2 linked regions of the Saccharomyces cerevisiae S288C genome follow. Changing the gene in region 1 together with any one later gene gives a genetic interaction. Each region holds a gene or a part of one and is shown on either strand. Other genes may lie near its edges.

Region 1 (5,782 bases):
ACTCGTCGTTGTGAGTCCACAAAGCTACGGAGGTATCAACGTGGAAAAGACGGAAAGAAACCGTTTTACTCTTTAAAACGTGACCTTCATCTGATTTTTTCAGTGGTTGGAATGCAAAAAGTGTTTCAGGATATAATTCCCCATCACCTTCTTCTAAAGTTACTGTAGTGATTTCTTCATTGGTAGGGTAAAATGGGGAGGCGACATCATGGGCTAACAAGTAGGTATCGGTGGCTACATGTCTCAATCTTATATGCTGGTTCAATAGAACAGCTTGTCCTTTACCGACATCACTGCCATGGGGTGGTAACACTTCCCATTGATTGTTGAAGTCAGGATGCGTGTAACCAGTAACTTGTTGACCAGCGGATGAGATACGACCATCTTCATACCGTTGTGGGTAACGTGCCAAGTGAGAATGTAAGAATGCGTCAGTATCTTGATGTTTGATAGTGATAATATCAAAATAATTGACGGTTTTAGAGTCAACACTTAAGGGAGAGTCCTTAAGTGTTTCTTGAAATTCAGCAGACATAAATGCGTCGCCAGGACCTGAAGTATTCAAAACGGTGAAATGAACCCAGAACCAAAACAAGTAAATCACAAATGGAATCAAAACTAAACCATTCAGCCTTTTACTAAAATGTCTCATGAACTGCCTCAAGGACAAACCCGCCTTGATGTCCAGTAATTGCCATAAGTTGACCACAGCAGCAAAACCAATAGCGGAATATGTCATAACACCAACATATTTTGTGGAAATCACGAAGGATAAAGACAAACCAGTAGCGTGTAACCAAATATACCAACTCCATGTAAAAGGTTGACGCAATTGGCACTTGTAGAAACGAACGTAACAATACATAGTAGCAGCAATAGAAATAATCAAGATGGCATCCAGTAAAATCAGCCTAGTTTCTGTAACATGCGCAGTATCGATTGCAACCAAGAGAGATGCAAACGCACATGTAATAGCCCTGAAATTCAGTTCCTTCAAAGTGTTGAACATAATTGGTACAGTCAATGTGCCCAATATCGCGTTGAAAGAACGGTACGCGATATATGGAGCTGGATGAGTTTCATAAGAATACCCAATCTCATCAAACTTAAAGGAACCATCATAGCCACATAACCAACCAATGAAGGCAATCATCATCTTAGCAAAAGGGGGATGAACGTCAAAGAAATAAGACCTTTCTAAGTAATACGATGCAAATTTCCCGAAATGTACCTCATCAAAAACAACTTCTTTTGGATACCAGATCTTATAAAATCTAGCAGCAAACGCTAATAAGGTAACAATTGTTACCCAAAAGCTATAACGTGATTCCGGTTCCGGTAGTGGCTGCAAGAGCCAATGTTCAGCAACTTGTTCACATTTAGGCGCGGCCTTCGTGTACTTCAACGAAGGATCGTCTACGTCCTTAGTGGAAGGTGGTAACTTCCCATGGTTACGTTTTTTGGGCACAGACATCTGTACTTCTGTGGACTGTCAGAAAATATCTTGGTAAAATATGTATCGACAAACTTCTTAGTACAGTTAATATAGAAGTAAGGATTCGAGTGAGTAGTTTTGATAAAGCGCGTTTCATTATGCATATTTTTCATTTTTTATTTTTTTTGTCAAGAAATACACGAATAACATCACGAAATTTATCGACAGAATAATGGAAGAAACTATTTAAAAAGACGGTAGAGACTAAAAAAGGAAAGAAAGGACAAGTAGGAAGATCAGCGTACGATGAAAAGCATTTTCAAGGTTAGAGGATGTGTATCGCATGCTGCTCAATTTTGCCAAAAAAGAACCGTGGTGAGTACCGGCACTAGTAACACCGCAACAGCCGGTGCAGTGAGGAAAAGTTTCAACAGTACCGAAACCAAGCCTGTATTTGCAACAAAATCGGAAGCTGGCAATGGAAGCCACATGAAGGAATATTCAAGCGGCATTAACTCTAAACTCGGCGGGACCCCTTTGGAAACCCGCAGCACCGCCGATGATTCTTTGAACAATAGTTATAAGCAAGTCAAGGGAGACATTGACTGGTATACTTCATGGTATGGCCTAGGTATGAAGCCCTTTGAAGCAAAAGTGCAAAAGGATCTAATCGAGCCTCTGGACCCTAAGGATATAGAAATCAAGCCAGATGGTTTGATATACTTGCCTGAAATTAAATACCGTAGAATACTGAACAAAGCTTTTGGCGCAGGCGGTTGGGGGCTAGTGCCAAGATCACAAACAATAGTGACATCCAAGCTGGTCACTAGGGAGTACGGTCTTATTTGCCATGGTCAATTGATCAGTGTGGCAAGAGGCGAACAAGACTATTTCAACGAAGCCGGCATACCAACTGCTACAGAAGGTTGCAAAAGTAATGCATTAATGAGGTGTTGCAAAGATCTCGGCGTCGGTTCTGAATTATGGGACCCTGTTTTCATAAAGAAATTCAAAGTGGATCATTGTACTGAGAAGTTTGTGGAACATGTTACCACCAAGAGAAAGAAGAAAATTTGGTTAAGAAAGGACAGACAAGTTGAATATCCTTATAAATAGTCAATATGCGAACCATATAAGCTAATTTTAGTAAGTATATATATTCCAATACAATCACACACACACACACACACACACACACACACACATACGCATATATTGTGGTAGTGCGTAGTGTCAGTACGTCTTATCATACGCCTTCTATTTCAGGGTTAGCGTATTTTTACTATCAATATTACAATACGGATATATATACACACACCTAATATATATATTATACGTTATATTACTGCCAGTCGAAAAAGGAAGATACGATGTATTATTTTAAAATTCAATTTCTAATAAACATTAATGGAGATATACAAAAGAAGAAAATAATTAAGTTGTTATGAAATTTATAAACCTTGTTGAGCTCTTCTTCTGTCACGTTCTTCAGCAATAGACAACTTGATACCCTTACCCTTTGGCAAAGAAATGTAAGGCTTACCTTGTTCACCGATGACGAAGACATTGTTCAATCTAGTGACGAAAGTGTTGTCCAAGGAGTCCTTGATGTGAACTAAATCGAAACCACCATCGTGTCTTTCCTTGTGAACGATAGTACCGATACGACCCAAGTTACGACCACCAGTAACGTAAACCAACTTACCGGCATCGAACTTGATGAAATCAGTAATCTTACCAGAGGCCAAGTCGATCTTAACAGTGTCATTGACCTTGATGTTTGGGTCTGGGTATCTGATAGTTCTACCATCGTGGGTAACAACGTATGGAACACCCTTCTTACCTAATTGAACCTTCTTGACCTTACCCAACTTGTAAGAAGCTTCTTCATCGGTGATACGGTGGACAGCGAATCTACCCTTGACATCGTAGACCAATCTGAAGTTTTCATTGGTGGCATCTAGAGTGATGACATCCATGAAACCAGCTGGGTAGGTAGTGTCGGTTCTAACCTTACCGTCCACTTTAACGTGACGTTGCATCAAGATAGCCTTGACTTCACGGCCGTTCAAAGCATACTTTAATCTGTTTCTTAGAAAGACAATCAATGGCAAGGATTCACGCAATTTGTGTGGACCAGCAGATGGTCTTGGGGCGTAACAACCGGACAACTTGTCCAATAACCAGTGGTGTGGAGCTGCTAATCTTTTTAGATGCTTCTTTCTGTACGGAAAAAAATGAGAAAAAAGGGCAAAAATGAATGTATAATGAAGATACAGACATTTTATTTTTTTCATTGTGCTCGTTAGTAAATCATTACTCGTAAAATATTTGTACAATCCCAGGATGATCTAAAATTAAATGGACATAAACTGGTTCATTGTTGTTCCTATTCGTTTGGTTAAGACTCCACTTGTTTCTTGTCTATCATTCTTCTCATCCTTGCGTAATTATAATCAAAGTCTATAGTCAAACATACGGTCCTCTAGCCATCTTTGCGTATTGATTCTTTGGTTTGTTTTGGGCAGAAAAATCGCTATATAAGAAAGTATTTCAACACTAGATTAAATTATAGTATAATTTTTAATATACTAGTATTGCCGACAATCTCTGAAATTTCAATACTACCACACAGAACAGGACTTGCCAGGGCCAGTCCGAGCCAGCCTAACTCCAAGACCACGTACTAAGTGAATTGCTACTCCCCCTTACCACGACTACAAAGAGCTACACGGCCTCCCGGCCTAGGCCGCTGCTACTTTCAACTGATGTCACCGAAAAAAATAACGGAAAACGACAGTTCAAGAAAAAAAGAACGCAGGAAGAAAAAGGAAGCAAAATTACAGAATGTACGGCTGTTTAAAAATAAATAGTGGATGCATGGGTGCTTCCACGCGTCTCTGGGAAAAAAAACCAGGATATTTTAATGTTTGTTTATTTGTTTATTTCCTGCTGAACTGAATATTGAAAACATCGAAAAAATGCAGTACCCAGCTCTCCATTAGGACTTTTTACGTAATGACGAAAATGGACAAGCTGCGCAGGAAAGGACTACGAAAAGTATGCTGCCATAATGACAAGATAAGGCGCAACACACGTAATCATGACTAATGGTTGCACAGACGGTAGGCCAGGAGAAGGATTAGATCTCGTGCCGAACGACAGCAAGCTAGCTAGACTATGTTATCTGAGTGTAAACGAAAGCGCAGCAGTCTCTGCAAGAGCACGTGCGACGTGTCTGGTGTGCAAAAACCCTCTAGAGAAACATTGCTAAGGTTTACCGATGCAGGAAATCTTTAGTTCTAAAAGATGAAAGTCGGAAAAGCCAAAAAGAAACCGGAAATCTTCTCTGCGCATTGTTCTGTGGCCACGGCCTTCCTGGACCCGTCCTTCTTTTACCCGAACTTTGTCGCCCAAAAGGCATCTCATTATAATGACAAAACTGGATCTGCAAATATTTGGACATATATCTCCAGAACGGGCTCACTTCTCCTCTTCACCCAGGTGGTATATAGGAAGAGTAAGTGGACGCATCAGTCCGCGACATTTGCGGACTGTATATATTGCCAGTCAGGGCAGTCGCCAAGTGTGTCTCTTTCGTGTAGCGACGCACGTCAGACATGGATGCAACATCGAGGATGGAGCAGCCTGATGTCTTTGTAAGCAAACTCTACCACCTGCTGCAGGGGAACGCTTACTCGAACATAATACAATGGTCGACTGATGGCAGCAAGCTCGTCATTTGGAATCCGGACCAGTTCACCAAAGTCATCCTAGAGCGATTTTTTGGTATTCACACCTTTGCAGCATTCGTTAAGCAATTGAGCAAATATAACTTCCAGAAGGCGGGCCGCCCGGACTGCGTGGAGTTTTCCAACATTCATTTTCAAAAAGATAACATTAATAGCCTCTCACTGGTTAAAGCTCATCAGTCTGCCGCCACTCCCAATGTCGCCGCCGTCAATAATATGAATAAGCAGTGTACTTTTCACTGGGACCCTTTCAAAGTGAACTCCATTCTAAGCAAGGCCATCGGCAAGCCTTCCTTCGAGAAATTAGTGAAAAATGTTGACAGGCTTCAGGGCAATCTTGATGAGCTTAAGTCGACAAACGCAGATAGTCTGCGTATTATAAGGGAAATTAACGCCAGCTTACAGACAATCTCCTACCACCAGTTTCACGCCTACCAAACCGCTAACTTCCTTCAAGAAAATTTTGAAGCCATCAAAAAGGTTGTATGCCCGGACTCTTGTCTACAACACCAGCAACGCCAACCAAAGCGCCCCAAACGCTACTCGTTGCTGTTACTAATACCAAACGCATCCGAATTGTCAGAAACACCTTTGA
Region 2 (4,439 bases), on another chromosome or scaffold:
GTGAAATATTACATGTACCGCCCATCTCACTAAAAAAATGAAAAAAAAAAATCTGCTAAAGACGCAAGGCTCTCACAAATAGCTTAATGTAAGAAGGGCAGGTGGAACAGCAAATTCAAATCATTTAACGCATCCATACATTCAAAATGAACTATTTAGAAGGCGTTGGGTCAAAGAAAGGAGGTGGTGGTATAGCCTCAGAATCTCAGTTTAACTTACAACGAAGGAAAGAAGTCGAATCATTACTTAGTAAAGGCGAAAATGTCCCGTACACTTTCCAAGATGAAAAGGACGATCAAGTAAGGTCCAATCCGTACATTTACAAGAATCATTCCGGTAAACTGGTTTGTAAACTATGTAATACAATGCACATGTCGTGGTCCAGCGTTGAAAGGCATTTGGGTGGTAAAAAACATGGTTTAAATGTGTTAAGGCGTGGTATCAGTATAGAGAAAAGTTCTCTAGGGAGAGAAGGCCAAACAACTCATGATTTCCGACAACAACAAAAGATAATTGAAGCTAAGCAATCTTTAAAGAATAACGGTACGATCCCTGTTTGTAAAATAGCTACCGTGAAAAACCCGAAGAACGGTTCAGTAGGTTTGGCTATCCAGGTAAATTATAGCAGTGAAGTCAAAGAAAATAGTGTCGATAGCGATGATAAGGCTAAAGTCCCTCCTCTCATTAGGATTGTATCTGGTTTAGAGCTATCAGATACCAAACAGAAGGGAAAAAAATTTCTCGTTATTGCGTATGAACCCTTTGAAAATATTGCTATTGAGCTACCTCCAAACGAAATATTATTCAGCGAAAACAATGACATGGACAATAATAACGATGGAGTAGATGAATTAAATAAAAAGTGTACATTTTGGGATGCTATATCAAAACTTTATTACGTTCAATTTTTCTTTAAACAAGCCGAACAAGAACAAGCCGATGTATGACAGTATTATTTTTGGGTAACGTTAATAATCGGCATACAAAACTCTAACCAAATTGGATTATATAATAGCTATTAAGGAAACAATTGTCTTTACAAGAGTTTTTTTTACGAAATTTTCCCATCCAATGTGCACTTATTCTCAGGGAGTATAATAACCATATTCCTCTAAAATTATATTACTGCTCAACTTCCATGCGCTTTTGCGATCTAGAGTATTTATGTTACCATTTATCAACAGTATCTAGTACTCGCAGCATACATACGTATTTATTCAGAAAAATGTAATTAGGCGAACAAGGCCGAAAACTGTGATGTGACAACGCTTGCTATACTTGAGAGATAATTGTAAAGGAAGAAGAGGGAACTAAGGAAGAGTACAACACGCCATACAATGATCAGAACATCATCTATATTAAAAAACTGTAACTATAGATACATACATTGCATCCATAGATGCTTGCTGAATGAAGCCAATTTGAAAGATAGAAAAACTCACAACGTAGAAAGAGTTTCAAATGAAAAGACATTTGAACAAGCTCTCGAAGAGGAACGTAAGGTATTTGGAGAACTATTCGAAGCTGGAGCAAGGGTTGAAAACATGAGGCACACTAATGCTAGCAAAATAATTGACAAGTATTACAATGGGCTACAGGACAACTCCGAGGGAACTAGTGTAAAAAAAGAAAAAATTGTTTTTAACCACAGTCAAAGAGCTCAAAGGAAGCTTCCAAATAAGGACCATGAATTCCTGAAGGAAACAGCAGGCAATGACTATGTCTACGAACGGGCAGAACCTTCTGCTATTAGCACTAAAACGATAAGTGAGCAGACAAGAACTTTGCTGGAAAAGATATTTGACGAAGATAATAGCATTAATAAAAGCAACAGAGAATTGCTGAATCTTAATCTGCGCAAGGGCTCGGGAATGGAAGCTTTGAGGCAGCCAGTTGCACATTCCAACGTCAAATTTAGCGAGGAAGTGATGCAAGAAATTGGTAATAAGATTCGGTACCAAACCACACTGGATCAGGTTTTAGAACCTCACATTGACTACTTGAGGGAAGCTGTTAAAAGTGATTACGATCTTTTAAGATACCTAAAGCAATCACTAGACATTTACAAGAAAAGGAACAAAGACCTAGAGTTAAAGATGAATGCAGAATCTTCAAACATTTTCGAAGACATTAGAAGTGCGTGTATAAATAAACCGGCAGAACTACCGAAACCGCTTGCAATGACTTTACCATATATTATAGTCAAATCGCTTAGATTAGGTGACTTTGATTTCCCGGCAGACAGAAAGTACACATTGATCTCCTATGTTTATAATGAATGTAAAAACAACATGGACGCTTCACTGTACCTAACAATTTGTAATGTTGATTTCTACAATTTGCTGGTTCAGCTATTGTGGGAAAACTTCCAGGAGATTCGCTACTTGAGACGTGTGGTTACCGAGATGAGCGTTAATGGTGTCATCGGAAATATTGAAACCGTGGATATATTGGATAAGATTGTCAAAGAAATGAGAAGTTTAAATGAGGATGTCTTTCTTGAAGCAGGAGAACAGCTCAGTGCAGATGAGGAAGTTTCGTCCAGCGCAAATAAAATAGTGAATGTAGGTGTTTTATGGAATAAAGACACGAATAATGACTTACTAATTGTTGAAAATTATCTCAAAAGCCTCAAAAAAAATTTAACTAGAGACAGGTAGAAAATTATTCAAACCTTGTAAATAGTGTTATATATATGTGTTAGACTTAAAAGCGCTAATAAACGTTCCTGCTCGCATTTAACTTCTGTTCCAATTTTCCTATTTTTTAGTTAGCTTGTTCGGCAGATTTCAAATTCATTGAGTCCGAGGAAACAAAAGGATGGGAAGAGCTCAAAATTTGGAGATGGGTTTCATATACAACACGTTGGTTAGCAAGAACCTAAGGATCCGTCTATAGAAAGAACCTCGAAAAATCTTCGAAAGATTTTGTTGACTGAGAGTGGAAAAAACTGATATTACTTTCTCGGTATAGAGGGCAACATTTGCAAAAAGTAATAAACAAATAGGGGAGCACAATATGCAGTTGAGCAAGGCTGCTGAGATGTGTTATGAGATAACAAACTCTTACTTACACATAGACCAGAAATCTCAGATAATAGCAAGTACACAAGAAGCGATACGGTTGACAAGAAAATACTTACTAAGTGAAATTTTTGTACGTTGGAGTCCACTGAATGGGGAAATATCATTCTCGTACAACGGAGGAAAAGATTGCCAGGTATTACTACTGTTATATCTGAGTTGCTTATGGGAATATTTCTTCATTAAGGCTCAAAATTCCCAATTCGATTTCGAGTTTCAAAGCTTCCCCATGCAAAGACTTCCAACTGTTTTCATTGATCAAGAAGAAACTTTCCCTACATTAGAGAATTTTGTACTGGAAACCTCAGAGCGATATTGCCTTTCCTTATACGAATCACAAAGGCAATCTGGTGCATCGGTCAATATGGCAGACGCATTTAGAGATTTTATAAAGATATACCCTGAGACCGAAGCTATAGTGATAGGTATTAGACACACAGACCCATTTGGTGAAGCATTAAAGCCTATTCAAAGAACAGATTCTAACTGGCCTGATTTTATGAGGTTGCAACCTCTCTTACACTGGGACTTAACCAATATATGGAGTTTCTTACTGTATTCTAATGAGCCAATTTGTGGACTATATGGTAAAGGTTTCACATCAATCGGCGGAATTAACAACTCATTGCCTAACCCACACTTGAGAAAGGACTCCAATAATCCAGCCTTGCATTTTGAATGGGAAATCATTCATGCATTTGGCAAGGACGCAGAAGGCGAACGTAGTTCCGCTATAAACACGTCACCTATTTCCGTGGTGGATAAGGAAAGATTCAGCAAATACCATGACAATTACTATCCTGGCTGGTATTTGGTTGATGACACTTTAGAGAGAGCAGGCAGGATCAAGAATTAAGTACGGTTTAACGGAGGAAAGAAAATAAAATGCTGATGTTACTATTAGATTAAAAGTTTATATATTTTCCGTTGAGACTATTTAATTTGTATATACAAGGCCATGACTTTAATATTATCAAGTTTTCATTCTTGCTGCTTTTGGATATAAAATTAATCATGGGGTTTACCGTTGATCCTATCATACAGCCTAGCGGCGTGATAGTTAATATTGCTCTTTTGAACGTTGTTTCTTTTGCCGAGGGCACTTTCACTAGTGCAACTTTTCAATTCCGTTACTAAGCCAGCACATTTAGGGCTCATATGACCATATGAAGACCAGCATTGTAATAAGTTTGACATTAAAACAAGACATTTGTTCGCTTCTTGCCTAATGATAGGTTTCTTCACTTTTAGTCTGGGAAGAGGGGGTAATCTATAAACTGGTGGTTTTCCGGACATTAATGGGCACTCTTTATTTTAGATGGAAGTTTCGGCGAGCCCTCGTGTTGCTATGGTAAG

The links.
Region 2: mutations in MGM101 (region 1) and FAD1 together harm fitness more than expected from each alone (negative genetic interaction), as found in Saccharomyces cerevisiae (one large-scale study listed by BioGRID).

What each region holds. Positions count from the first base shown.
Region 1 is NC_001142.9:699,141-704,922, forward strand, and holds MGM101 (Mgm101p), read left to right. Parts: upstream 1-1,741; coding exon 1,742-2,551; downstream 2,552-5,782. Other genes in the region: PMT4 (dolichyl-phosphate-mannose-protein mannosyltransferase), read right to left, coding at 1-1,474; 40S ribosomal protein eS4 RPS4A, read right to left, coding at 2,887-3,658, 3,915-3,928; YJR146W (uncharacterized protein), read left to right, coding at 4,745-5,098; HMS2 (Hms2p), read left to right, coding at 5,056-5,782. UniProt on the Saccharomyces cerevisiae protein: Performs an essential function in the repair of oxidatively damaged mtDNA that is required for the maintenance of the mitochondrial genome. Binds to DNA.
Region 2 is NC_001136.10:372,188-376,626, reverse strand, and holds FAD1 (FMN adenylyltransferase), read left to right. Parts: upstream 1-3,018; coding exon 3,019-3,939; downstream 3,940-4,439. Other genes in the region: spliceosome assembly protein PRP11, read left to right, coding at 147-947; MTF2 (Mtf2p), read left to right, coding at 1,338-2,660; mitochondrial 37S ribosomal protein mS37 MRP10, read right to left, coding at 4,092-4,379. UniProt on the Saccharomyces cerevisiae protein: Catalyzes the adenylation of flavin mononucleotide (FMN) to form flavin adenine dinucleotide (FAD) coenzyme.